Linked DNA regions of Sus scrofa. The protein of the gene in region 2 purifies or fractionates together with the protein of the main gene of each other region. This does not show direct contact. Links are inferred from orthologs where the notes say so. Each region holds a gene or a part of one and is shown on either strand. Other genes may lie near its edges. The genes, in order: ARMCX3 and RANBP6.

Region 1 (7,262 bases), on a different chromosome or scaffold from region 2:
GGAAACCCTATTTATTTGAGAAATTATTTTAACAGTTGCCTTGCAGGAATGACAGAACTCTACACCATAGTAACTTAATAAATGCTAACCTTTATTGTTGTTATTATTTATTAAATGATGCTGACACGTGGCAGAACGCCCCCAGCAAAACAAAGGTCAACCAAAAGAATGATCAGTCCTGAATTCTAGGGAATTAAGCGTACTCACTTTTCTTAATTAAATGCTACGTGCCAAAACATTCTAAGTATTCCGCATGTATTTCTTCATCTGTCCTCACAATGAGTGCCATCTTCAGTACTCACCTATTATTTCAAAGAGAAAACTTAAACCCATCTCCTGTTTAATTGTTTTTTCGGCTCAGTACATGCTCCAACCAATCACTGCTTCATTCCCAATGCTTTTCTTTTTTAAAAATTTTTGAAAAATAATTATTGGTTTTACATAAATAAGAATATGTAGATGAATAAAAAGTAAAAAGGTAAAAATCACTCTATCCTTTCACCCAAAGATAACCACTGTTACTCTGGATATCTGTAATTCCAGAGTTTTTAGTATCTACTTAAACATGTTTTATATTCTCAAAAAAAAATGGAATCATACTATAAATACTGCTATCTAACCTACCTTTCTCACTTAACAATTCATAATGAATATCTTTTCCTGGCAATATGAATTCTAATCAACATGTTTATCTTAGACCGTGTGAACATTCCTTAATTTATTAACCAATCCAGTGTGCTAGACATTTAGGTTGTTTCCAATTTTTACTCTTTCACACAGTTCTGAGAGTTACAGCCTTGTAATACAATCTTTGGCCAATGTTTCAATTATTTCCTTAGGACAAAGGGTTTACATATTTTAAGGCTTATGATATATATTGCCAAATGGCCCTTCACAAACCCTGTGCCACTGTAAGGTCCATTTTGAAAGGGTCCATTTTGCCACACCCTCATGGACATTGCACAATAGATGAAAGAGGGACTTTTATATGAATTACAATTATCCTTCCTAGTCAGAATTATTTAGTGGCTCTCAGTGTTCAGTGGGATAATATTGAAAGAGTTCACAAACTGGCTGCAGCTGGCTTCCCAAATCTGTTTACTTCCACACTAAGCAGACTAGTCTCCTCACTGTCATAGGAAGAGTTCCTACCTCCATACCTTTCTCACACCAGTCCCCCCCTCACTCCCATCACATGGAATGCCCTAACTACCCACCCCACTGAGAATTCATTTTCAATGACCACTTTTTCCAAAAATCTGTAACTGACTACTGTATCCCACAGAAGTCTTTGCTTCCTCTGTGCTCTGAGCTCACATATTTGACAATGAGTATCTATGTTCGAGTTATTCTGTTATCTTTTTGTTTGCATGTTTCTTATCTCTCCAACTAGATTATAAACTGAAAGACAAGGATGGTTTCTTTCCTTCTTTCTTTCTTTTTTTTTTCTCAGCATTAATGCACAACTTTATTGATGATACACAAATGAAGTCAATGCAAATGACAGGAAGGAGCTTATTTATGATGAATTAGTTCACTGTCACTTATGCAGAAGAAAGAGTAAAAATATTTCAATCTAGGCAGCAAGATAAAAAGCAACAAACGTGTTTTCAGAACAAGTAGTGATATTCACTCATCCAGCTTAGACCTGAAGACCAACTCAGATAAATATCAGTGTTGAGGATACAATATGATATTCATTACTCAAAATTGGCAGCTGAAAGAATTCCTTTACCATATAAACAAGGTGGAGAAAAGGAACAGTTTACAACGTGTGTTGCTTCTAAACTACAAAATCAAGAAGTTATTCCTGGCTCTTTGGGAACATATGCTCAGCCAGTTTGGCCATGAATTTTCCAACTTTTACTTTCACCAAAAAATCCTGATGACTTTCTATCCCCAGAATCTTATCAGCACACACTTGAAATTCTTTTAAAAAGAAAAAAAGTGAACCTTCGCTGAACTGATTCTGAGTAGGTTCATCTTCTTCCCATTTAAAATTGTCAATTATGTTCTCAAATATGACTAGAAGCTTAAGAATCACCTCTTTGTTCTCCTTCTTATTAAAGAGGGAGCCCAGCGAAGATGGTACTTGGGCCCTAAGCAGTTCTCTAGTCATGGCTGGATTTTCAGCCAAATTCAAAAGGAGTTTCAAAACCTGAAATTTGGTTTCTTCATTTCCCGCTGAAAATAAACGAAAAAAGTCTGAAATGGAATTAGCAAGCATGTGCTGATACTCATTAGTAACAGTCATGTTCGTAAGCAATCTTAGTCCCGCCAGCTGCACAGATGAGTTCAAGCGAGAAGTGATTGTGTCATCACACACTTGATTCATGTATATCTTAAGCCGGCGCTGATTTTCAGCATTCACACTCAAGTTATTTAGGACAATTAAAGCCTTTTCCTTAACTATGGGATCCCGAGTATTGAGAATCTTTGCCACAATTGGGAGACCACCCAGATCACGAATAATATCTCTGTTAAACGCATAAGCAGCGTTGTTACCCAGAGCAATTAAAGCTGCTTCAAGAATATAAGGCTTTTCAGACATCTCAACCAAGCAAAGAACTTTTTGTAGCTCCTGAGGGGACAAAACGGTATCATCTGAATTGGGGGAAGCCCTTTTCTGGACGGCCCTCCGTGCCCGGGTAGCCCTGGCCCTTGCTCTGGCCCTAGCTCTGGTCCCAGCCTCAGTCCCAATTCGGGCCCAAGGTGGATACCATACTATACCTTTGTTCTCACTGTTGTCATCATCATCGTCTGACCAGTCATTGTACCTGGCCCCAGGACAGTCCCCAACATCATCCACGTCCCCGGACCCGCCCTCAGCCATTTTCTCCTTGTTCTGTTTTCTTCCCCTGGTCAGTCTGTAAATGCAGTAACAGGCGCCAGCCCCAATCACCAGTCCCGCAGTCACCCAGCCTACTTTCCTGGCGTAGCCCATGCAATCGTCCCTGACAGTATCAGGGACCAAGGAACAGAGTAGTCACTCAGGCTGGGGGAGGATGGCTATAGGCCTGGCTGGGTGCAGGCCTGCAGAGGGTGATCGTCTTGTCTTCAGCCCCACTTCAAGGCCACAGTAGCTGACACTACAAGTGGACCTAGGGGTGGAGGAAGGAAATGGGGTTTGAGTTTCTCTTCTCTCTGTGTTATCCCATGCAGGGAGTTGCACAGAGGGACAAGTAAATGAGTTCTTGGTAGGAAATGTAGATTGTTAACAAACTGTGCCCTCTCACTTCACCCTCCTCCTACCCTCCCCAGTCCACACCCTCCCCAAGCCTAGATAAAGGCAACAGAGCCCACAGTCTCTGCTGGGGCCTCAGCCACCCCAAAATCGGTGTTCACAGGGAGTAGCACCCTTGCACTAACCTCCTCCAGACAAGCAGTTTGCCCCTTCTTCCCTCCCCTGGAGGTGTGCCACGCCCAACAACCCTTGTGATCTGCAGAGAGACCAGAGCCAGTGAGAACTAAAGGCTTAATGGATTGACTGTTCATTCGTTGCTTTCCTGATTCACCATCTAGGTTGTCATATTTTTTTTTTAGAAAACTTCTCTATGCCATCCAAAACATGCACATGCCTGCCCCTTCCCTAGCCTGAAATGGGAGGGATGTTAGGGAAATAAAGTAGGATTGGGTGAGCCTGTCCAACCACGGGCGATTTCCAACCCCTCCCCCATTCTAAGCAGCCCCCACGCCCACACCGACCTCTACTGATCCGAGGAAACTTCCTCCCTCGCTTCAACTGGTGCCACCTGCTACAGCAGACCTGCAGGATGACAGATCGAAAACATGGGGACTAAGTGCTGTTGAGAGAAGAGGATTATGAACAAACTATCTGATAGGTTTCCCTTCTGTCATTCTCCCCCACCCCCGCGACACACGGGCGCGCACACGCTCGCGCACACACACACACACACAACGCACGCCATTTCGACACAGTCCCCAGAGTGTAAGAAACACACTCAGACTCAGACCTAACCTAGATCATTGCCACCTCTGGTTTCTACCCACCCCCATCACCAGCCCTGTTAGGGTCCCCAGATGGTCTTACCCTCAAATCGACCTTCACCGATCGGGGTTAATTTCCTTCCTCTTCTGTAGCCTGCCGTAGTGCCGCAACCTACAGAAAGACTGGCAACCCGGGAGAGGCTCGGACCCACAAGACACAGAGCCATGGTCAGGAAAACACAGTCACAGAAAGACGGGAAACAGACGCTACCGAGTGCTTGGTGGACGGACCAGTCCCCAGAACAGAAAACTCTTTCCTAATTCGGAGGCCTGGTTGTCAAAGGTTTCCCACCCCCATTACCCTCTTGGGGGCTTCTGCTGACACATCACGTTGCACTCCCCCCTCGCTAAGTGCAGTTTTTCCCGGCCAGCACTGTCCTGAAGGACTGGGGGGCCAACACCCAGGCCACAGCTCCCTTTGCAGATTACGGCCTCGGTTCCCACCAGGTTCCCACCTCCGGATCTCTGGGCTCCTCCCCAAACATCCCCCTACTCACCATTTCGCAGCATCGAAATGGGCTGCGGGCGGGACAGATGTCTTGCAAAGCCGGCGGCGAGTGGGAGAGACAACAGAGGCGCCCCAAGACCCGCGACGGTCTGCGCCCTGCACCCTCGGCCACCCCCACCTTCTGGAATCTCCCTGGCACTGACCTGCAGGGATCCGGGACAATTTCCTTCTCCTCCTCCTTCCCTCTGCCACCGGCCCGCTCACCCTCAGGGCAGTGGGGAGCTGGTACTCAGACGGGGAACAACGACCAGAACAAGAAGGACTTCTGCACACGTCAGCTCTTGGTCACGTGAGAGCTACGTCATCCACCAACTCGGGTCCCCAATTTCCCCTCCCACCAGCAGTGCGGCAGAAGAGGGCCCGCCCCCCTCCATTCCCTCCCCCACACCAGGCCTTGTTACTCTTTCTTCGTTGCCAATCCCATCTCCTTATAGTTGTGTTTGCCTTCCCCCATTACCAGAAAGGGACAGCATCTCCCCCTGGGGTTACTGGCCACTTGTACTTTTTGAAAAACTGCCTCTTCCTTCCCTAGGCTCCTGGGACAGCAACCTCTCCTTCCACCTCCCCGCCTCCCAGCTATAAATGTCTACGGTTTCCTCTGAAATCCAGTCCCAGATCTGAAATGAAAAAGCCATCTGAAAAGGAGCCCTGGAGTGAGTGAGTGTGTGTGTGTGTTTTCCTTTCTTAATGCGTTTTTGTTCTTTCCCTTCTGCCCTTCTCCCACCCGCAGCCTGCATTCTTTTTATGAAAAAAAAAAATTGCTGTAAAGCTATTTTCATTTGCAGAAAAAAAAAGAGTGGGAGTTGGAGAGTGGTGTTGGGTGATGGCCTCCAAAATGTACCACACTTTCTCACTTGTGGGGAGTGTTACAGAAAGCCATCTTAATGTCTTTGGGGGCCTAGCACATAACATAATCCTGAATGAGCTAATCAGTATGTCTGAGAATACATACAGCAGACTAGGCCAGTCTTCAAAACGGGAGAGCTACAGACTTTTACTTGCATCAGTTAGCAAGGAAGAGGCATGGAGCTCTCAGAAGCAAGTGACACAGAAAATGTTGAGTGGAAATCGCACCAACATAGTGGATGTGTATCATACAGGCATGCACACCGACAGAGTGAGTGGCATACAAAGAACATTATAAAATACACTCAGGCATAAATAGAGAATATCATTTTAAAATGGAATAGATGTTAGTGGAACAGTGAGACTAAGACAAAATTGGCCAACCTCGGTATCTAGGAATTAGTGTGAAACCTTTTCAACGACCAGTTTAATGAATGATTCACCTGTCAGCAATGATCGAATTTTTTTATGAGTGGGCAAAATAATAAAATAATGTCAGAACATGAGGTCTACAGTGAAATATGCCCTAATAGTTCAGATATAAGGTTATTATCTGAGTATGAATTTTAAGATCCACAGACAACAGGGGCATAAATCAAGAAATTAGGAAGTTTGGGAACAGGCAAAACTCTAAGAAAGTTCAAGTTGATGTAACTTTTGGAAGACAGCACTTGACTATGACTGAATTTTATTTTTTCTTCGAGTTTTATTGAGAAATAATTGAGATACAGCACTGTATAAGTTTAAGGTGAACAGGGTATGACTGAAATTTAGTAAGCAGAAACCAGATCAACTATGATGCTGTGTTTAGAGAAAGATCATGTGCAGCGAGGGGGCTTATTCAAGCATAGGGATATATGAAAAGCAGAGTCAGAGGAAAGTGTTGATAGTTCCCACCCAAGCACTGTCTGGAGGAGAGCGAGTCTTGGCCAAGATGAATGGAAAAATTAGCTTTCTTTGGCAGAGCCATCCCCATGATGTGTAAGTGTACTTCAAGTTTCTTAGCTAAAAGCCACTTCTTAAAGTGCACCAATGCCCTTGCTCTGATTGCAGGCTCACCAAGCCACCTTCTGAGGTTGTGGTTTCCCAAGTAGTAGCTTGCCAACAGGGAGTGAATGGGCTGATAAAACTGACAGAAACCTCTAGTACCCTTGACGGTTGTATTTTTCAGGATAAATTCTTCAGTTGTCACTCCCTTGTGAGACTTAGTTTCCCTTGTGGCCTTCTTACAGGGAGAAAATGCAGAAATCCATGCACTGGGGCATTCAGATATAGATTTAGATATGTCTCTGTGAATGGGAGTCTTTCCTTGACAGAGGCATCCACTCTCAGCGTACAGACAAAATCAGGTATTGATCATGACGGGATGAGGACAAGGCTCTGAACTCTAGATGCAACCTTGTGGAATCCTATCAGGGAAGCCAAGTAGCTTTGGCTTACAAGACAGCCTAGTGCATCACCATTTCAGAACTGTACCTCTCTAGTGTTCAGTTAATGTAAAAATTACAACTGGAGTTCCCATTGTGGCGCAGTAGAAACGAATCCGACTAGGAATCATGAGGTTGTGGGTTCAATCCCTGGCCTTGCTCAGTGGGTTAAGGATCCAGCATTGCCGTGAGCTGTGGTGTGGGTTGAAGAAGCATCTTGGATCCTGCGTTGCTGTGGCTGTGGCGTAGGCCGGCAGCTGCAGCTCTGATTAGACCCCTAGCCTGGGAACCTCCATATGCTGCAGGTGTGAGCCTAAAAAACCAAAAAAAAAAGAAAGAAAGAAAAGAAAATTACGACTAAAGCATGCCGTGGCAGATAGGCCCCCCAGCACCTCAGTCCCAGATGAACAAAGCATCATATCCAAAGTAGTTGAAGGGCTCCTGCAAATCAACAATAATATCTGAAACAGTAT
Region 2 (7,119 bases):
TAGGTTAAATTTTTATTGAATTAATTAAATGTTTGAATAAATGAAAAGCTTAGAAAAAAACAACTTCATATTAAAAAAAGCTTGAAAATATTAGTAACTGGAACATCATGTTTACATTCAGATTTTAAGTTAAAAACATAAGCTGCTCCAAATTGTAGTCCCAGGTGTCAGAAATACCTTTCTCCTCTGCTATCCTTTTTTTTTTTTTTTTTTTTTGAGAAAATCTGGGTGAAAAAGTTGAGGTGTTATTCTAAATCAATAATTTTACATTGAAAACAAAGAAATTCTTTTTTTTCTTTTGGTCGGTCATTTAAATTTTCAATGTACAATGTACATAGAATGCAAAAAGTTCCTAATTATACTCAAATCCACAAATTCATATGCCCTTTAATCAGCTTAAAAATATCGTAAATTGGAGTTCCCATTGTGGATCAGCATTAACAAAACTGACTAGTATCCATGAGGATATGGGTTCAATCCATGGCCTCTCTCAGTGGATTAAGGATCCGATGTTGCCTTGAGCTGTGGTGTAGGTCACAGACTCAGCTCGGATCTGGCATTGCTGTAGCTGTGGCCTAGGCCAGCAGCTGCTGCTCTGATTTGACCCCTAGCCTGAGAACTTCCATATGCCACCGATGTGGCCCTAAAAAGACAAAAAACAAAAACAAAAACAAAACTTAAATTTATGGAAGGCTAGAGAGTACTTTATAAAAATTTCAGTGTTCAGTGATCTTTAGAACCACTAACTATAATTACTTTGGTTCAGGATTTATTGTAAAACTATAGTAATCTGTACAGTCTGTGGCACTGGAGTAAGGATAAACATATAGATTAATAAATGGAACAGAAGGTTCAGAAATAGGACTACATGTATATGGTCAATTGATATTGAACAAAGATGTAAAGGTTATTCAGTGGAGAAAAGTAGAACAACCAAAAATTCATATGCAAGAAGAAATGAGCTGCAACCCAGACAAGAAGAGGAAAAACACTAAGGTGATTCCTCGTTTCTCTCTTTTCCATCCTCCAATCTCTAGCGGCTCCTACTGGTGGAAACTATCATAGATCCAGCTATGAAAGAAATTTTATTTCCAGAGCCTAAACTTAGCATCAGAAAACAAATTAGAGAAAGTAAGAATGTGATACCAAAAGACAACATATAAATGACATTTTTTGTTTATCCCACTTTTAATAATACTAAGATTAATCATTAACTTCAGGTGGTTTCAGCCTAATCTATTATCATGTTCTCAATGTTTCATTCCATGGTTTTATCATCCATTGGTTATTGTCATCTACATTTGTTATTCCATTTGGAGTTACAGCAATTTTCTGATTTTAGCACCGTTGTGCACTTATTATATGGAATTCTATAAAGAAGAATGTGGATCACTATTTGGTTATCCTAGAGTTTGTAAGAGAAAGGCAGGAAAAATCTTGACTATTCTTCTTTATCAATTTTCAGTTGGTGACCTAACAACCTCCAAAGATGACCAATGAGTTGGTTGCTTTTGTTAGTATTAGAAACTCAGAACTTTTGCTTATATATCTGAAGAGTTTTTTAATCCATCACAGGCATTATTCTGATATTCAGATTTGTCTCATCTTAGGTCAGTGGGAAACTTCATAGTATTGTTTTATATATTTTTATTTATTCTGGGTTATTCTTGAAAAAATGTCAAGTATGTCCAATTTAATTTCCCCCCCTCATTTGACTTTAAATCTCTCAGATCTTGGAAGAAATTTGCAAGTTATTTTTCACTTTCCCACTTAGTAAGCCGCTAATAAACACTTGAATTGTCCACTATTGAGCCACCTTATGGAAACATTCCTAAGTGGTCTCTCAACAGTGCAAACATTTTTAAAAGCCAATTTTAATTACAGAATTTAATCAAGTTATTCAACTCTAACCAAATCTTCAAGTCCAGTCTTGAAATTTTCAGTATGATATGTGCTGCTTAGGGGAAAAAATAAATAAAAAGGAAATCACAATGCAAAAAGTAAATAGAATAGAATTATGCAATTTAGAAAGGAAGAACTTTAAGATTTTAAATCCATGTGTTTTTCTAAAATAAAGGAACATAACTTTTTTTCCTAAAATGGATTCAGTTTAGACTTTACTCTTGTAACAATGACCATCACTATAGAGTGAGAGAGCAACTACGGAATAAAATATGGATTTTGGTACTCACCTTCTTAGGAAAGCCTCTTTTCCCCCAGAAAGAGTTAATAGTCCTTTGGTCTACATTAATATTGTTGTTTATTTATATGTAGGTTAAGAAATAGGTAAATTTCAGCACCTCCAACCAGATGCCCAGGCCAAAACTCGGGGAGATTTCCTAGGCTTCTCCTTCTCCTCTGAGGTGCAACTGATATGACCTCTTAAGATCTCTCCAATCCTTGCCCTCTTTTCTTTCCATCCACTAGTGTAATTTACACTTTCAGCTTAACTGAACTCCTGTATGTCTCCAGTCTTTAACTTCAGTTTGCACATTACCATTAAAGTAATCTTTCTACAAATGGGTTATTTCACAGCCTTTTTTTTTTTTTTTCTTTTTCTTTTTAGATCTGTATCAGTGGCATATGGAGGTTCCCAGGCTAGGGGTCAAATCAGAGCTGTAGCTGCCAGCCTACGCCACAGCCACAGCAAGTCCAGATCCTTAACCCACTGAGCGAGGCCAGGAATCAAACCTGCAACCTCATAGATCCTAGTCAGATTCTTTTCCACTGTGCCACAACGGGAATTCCTATTTCACAGCTCTTGATTAAAATCCTTAAACAGCTCCTCTTTACCTTAAGGGAAAAAAAGCCAAATTTCTTAACCTGGACTATAAGACTTTTCATGATCTGGCCTCTATATAACTTTCTGCCTTCTTCTTTCCTGGCTCCTGTCATTCCCAGACCCCCTCACATTCCATTCTCAATGATCCAGCAATGAACAACTGGCAGAATGGACTGCACTAGGCAGTAAGGCCTTTCTGCACTTGAACATAGATCTTATTTTACTTAGAAACTTCTTCTCTTTCTTCAAATAGTTAATACAGATTCATCCTTCCAAAGTCAGCCCTGATATTACCACCTCTGGGAAGCCTTGCCTGATCTCCCTCAGCTGCCTCCATAGTCCTGTGTGGTTCCATGGTAGATGGCCTATCACCACAGTGCTCACTACACTATATGACATTTACTATCTTTCATGAGCATCTATATATCTATATATCTATATCTACCTATCTATCTATCTATCTATCTATCTATCTATCTATCTATCTATCTATCTATAGATAGTCTTTTTAGGGCCGCACCTGAGGCATATGGAAGTTCCCAGGCCAGGGGTTGAATTGGAGCTTCAGCTGCTGGCCTACACCACATCCACAGCAACACGGGATCTGAGCAACCTACACCACAGCTCATGGCAACACTGGATCCTTAACCCACTGAGCAAGGCCAGGGATCAAACCCTTGTCCTCTTGGATACTAGTCAGGTTTGTTGCAACTGAGCCATGACAGGAACTCAATCCTCATATATTTAATCTTATCCCTAGCACACAGCACCATGTTTTGAGTATTCCCTCAGCGAATGCTGAGAGAATAAACAAATAATTGCATAATGTTAACCCAGCATTTTCAAAACACATTTTTTCAGAGTAATTTTACCTATTATACTACCACCAAAAATAGAGTTTCCTGTTGTTCCACATCCTTTCAAATGCTTAATATTCTTAGATACAAATTTAAAATATTGTGGAGGGTGGGTCTTTAGTGATATCTCATCCTAGTTTTCAATGTCATTAATATGCTAATAGATATAGTATTAAGGAAAGTCCCCCCCCCACCTCTACTTATTAATATTTCCTGAAACAGCAAATGCAAAGGCTCTGCAGTTAGACTTTTTCAAGGAATGGTAAAAAAGCCAGTGACTGTGGAGCAAGAGGCAGAACCATAGTCAAGATCTTGGAATGATCCCATCATTCGTTCTCAAGTTTTGCTATTCATGTGAAAACCCAGTGTGCTTGTTAAAATTGGACATTCTTGGACTTCCCGTGTGGCTCACAACATTACTTGGCATTGCTTCTACAGTGGCGGTGGCTGGACCCCTAGCTCGGGAACGTCTATATGCCGCAGGCCACTTGTTTAAAAAAAAATTTTTTTTTTAAATAATAAAAAATAAAAAAATTAAATTCAACATTCTTGGGTTGCATGCCCCAGAAATTCTGATTCAGTAGTTCAGAACTCGGGCCCTAATATCTGTATTTAAAATAAGCTTGTCAAGTAATTCTGACCCAGTTTGCTTATGGTCTACAGAATAAGAAACACTGTTTAGAGAATTAGGTTTTTTCCTAAATGAGCACAGTATTACATATTACAATGTCATTTAAGAGATTGCTTTTCCTATAATCCGGTTAAAACGTTAAAACTGTGATTTTCTCTCTTCATGGGTACGTGCAGCAGCATGTTACAAAATTAAAATTAAGCCCATTTGGAGATGTTTAAGATAACCTTACAGTAAGCGAAGGCCTTTGATCATGTTGCAAAACCAAGAGTAATTATGTGGAAGTGGTATGGTGAAAGAGCATTGGTGCTGCTTTCAGAAGTGGTGGATTTGAGATTCCGGCTGTGTCATTTTAGGCAAATCCCTTAACTTGCATGAATTTCTATTCTCATCTAAAGTTAGTATAATACCTATCCTACTAACCTTGAAAACCTGTATAACCATCAAAATGAAGAGTGGCAGGGCACTAATACAAAAGTAAGATCTAATCATTGTTACAGGAATGATCATTGTTTTTGATTGACACACATGAGTTAAAGAAATAACATTTAGACTCGGGGGCATTTATTTCGTAGAATAATCTCAGCAGCTTCCTACTAAAAAACTGTGAAAGCATTTTACCATTTGCAAAGAAAGTCTCAAGTGACATGACCATGGGTACAAAATCAATTTAGAGACAAGACCAGGATTCTAGTGTTCTGATTACTATCCCAGGTCACTCCCCACCATACTTTCCTCATTTGTCTTTCTCATTTTGTATTATAATCCATAGGCCAAATGATTCTGGCACACACCTGAGACTGAGAACCACTGCTTTACTGCATTTGGTGTAGTGGTGGGGTGGTAATCATTGCCTTTATCTTTTATTACACTTATTTGATAAACAGCTTTATTGAGGTATTACTTACATACCATACAAATCACCAATCTAAACTGTACAATTCAATGGTTTTTAATACACAGAGTTGTGCAGTTATCACCACAATCAATTCCTCATTTTCACACCCATCCACCCCCGCCACCGCCCCAGTACTCATTCTCTATTCTTCTTTTCCCTCAACCACTGCCAAACACTAATTTACATTCTGTATGGATTTGCCTGGTTAAGACCGTTCCTATAATTGGAATTACACAACACGTAACATTTTATGATCTTCTTTCACTTAGCAATTTTCAAGGAGTACCTAATTGTTTTAAAATTAGCAGTGTAACAATAGATAGTTTAGAAATAAACCAGAAGGGAAAAAAATCACCCATAATTCCATCCTAATACAATCAACAGCATACTTTTTTTTTTTCTCTTCTGCGGCTGCACTTTCATCTCACTGGAAAAAAGATGGAGGGTGACCCTCCCCGCCACCGGGCTCTCCACGCCCCCCCCGCCCATCTCCACCCGGCGCCTTGATGACGTCACTATTTCGAGCCTCAGACCACCCCCCCCCACCGCCCTCCCTCCCTGTCGCGGTGGCTTTGACAGAACGCGATGGCGGCGTCCGGGTCTGCGGGAGTGCCGGCGGCTGTGTCGGGAAAGCAAGAGTTTTACCAGCTTCTGAAGAACCTGATCAATCCAAGCTGTATGGTGCGGAGGCAGGCAGAGGAAATCTATGAAAATATCCCAGGTCTGTGTAAGACTACATTCCTCTTAGATGCCGTCAGAAATAGAAGAGCAGGTTTTGAGGTGAGACAAATGGCTGCCGCACTGCTACGACGGCTTTTGTCATCTGGGTTTGAGGAAGTCTATCCAAATCTGCCTTCTGATGTTCAGAGGGACGTCAAGATTGAACTAATACTGGCCGTTAAGTTAGAAACACATGCTAGCATGAGGAAAAAACTTTGTGATATTTTTGCAGTGCTGGCGAGGAATTTGATAGATGAGGATGGCACTAACCACTGGCCGGAAGGTCTGAAGTTCCTTATTGATTCAATCCACTCTAAAAATGTTGTTCTATGGGAAGTTGCACTTCACGTTTTTTGGCACTTTCCTGGAATTTTTGGGAACCAAGAACGGCATGATTTGGATATCATCAAACGGTTGTTGGACCAGTGTATTCAAGATCAAGAACATCCAGCAATCAGGACATTATCTGCTAGAGCTGCAGCTGCATTTGTACTTGCTAATGAGAATAATATTGCTCTTTTCAAAGACTTTGCAGACTTGCTTCCTGGAATCTTACAGGCTGTGAATGATTCATGCTACCAGGATGATGATTCAGTGCTAGAGTCCCTTGTTGAGATTGCAGATACTGTACCTAAATATTTGGGTCCTTATTTAGAAGATACTCTTCAATTGAGTCTAAAGTTATGTGGAGACTCCAGACTTAGTAATCTGCAACGCCAGCTGGCTCTTGAAGTGATAGTGACTTTATCTGAAACTGCAACCCCAATGTTGAAAAAACATACAAATATTATTGCACAGGCAATTCCTCATATATTAGCAATGATGGTTGATCTTCAAGATGATGAGGACTGGGTAAATGCTGATGAAATGGAAGAAGATGATTTTGACAGCAATGCAGTTGCTGCTGAGAGTGCACTAGATAGACTGGCTTGTGGGCTCGGTGGAAAACTTGTTTTACCAATGACTAAGGAGCATATCATGCAGATGCTTCAGAGCCCTGACTGGAAATATCGACATGCTGGATTAATGGCCTTATCTGCTATTGGAGAAGGATGCCATCAGCAAATGGAATCAATTCTAGATGAAACAGTTAACTCTGTTTTGCTTTTTCTTCAGGATCCTCATCCAAGGGTGAGGGCTGCAGCCTGTACTACACTTGGACAGATGGCTACAGATTTTGCACCTAACTTCCAAAAGAAATTCCATGAGACGGTGATTGCTGCTCTGTTGC

The links.
Region 1: the proteins of RANBP6 (region 2) and ARMCX3 purify together in Homo sapiens (co-immunoprecipitation; 3 studies listed by BioGRID and IntAct, counting the BioPlex papers as one, with this or other methods). This does not show direct contact. The link is inferred for Sus scrofa from reciprocal best matches to the Homo sapiens genes RANBP6 and ARMCX3.

What each region holds. Positions count from the first base shown.
Region 1 is NC_010461.5:83,185,502-83,192,763, reverse strand, and holds ARMCX3 (armadillo repeat-containing X-linked protein 3), read right to left. Parts: upstream 4,826-7,262; 5' UTR 4,660-4,825; exon of another isoform or gene 4,506-4,659; intron 4,132-4,505; 5' UTR 4,052-4,131; intron 3,767-4,051; 5' UTR 3,706-3,766; intron 3,441-3,705; exon of another isoform or gene 3,370-3,440; intron 3,102-3,369; 5' UTR 2,945-3,101; coding exon 1,805-2,944; 3' UTR 71-1,804; downstream 1-70. UniProt on the Homo sapiens protein: Regulates mitochondrial aggregation and transport in axons in living neurons. May link mitochondria to the TRAK2-kinesin motor complex via its interaction with Miro and TRAK2.
Region 2 is NC_010443.5:216,101,849-216,108,967, forward strand, and holds the start of RANBP6 (ran-binding protein 6), read left to right. Parts: upstream 1-2,583; 5' UTR 2,584-5,753; coding exon 5,754-7,119. UniProt on the Homo sapiens protein: May function in nuclear protein import as nuclear transport receptor.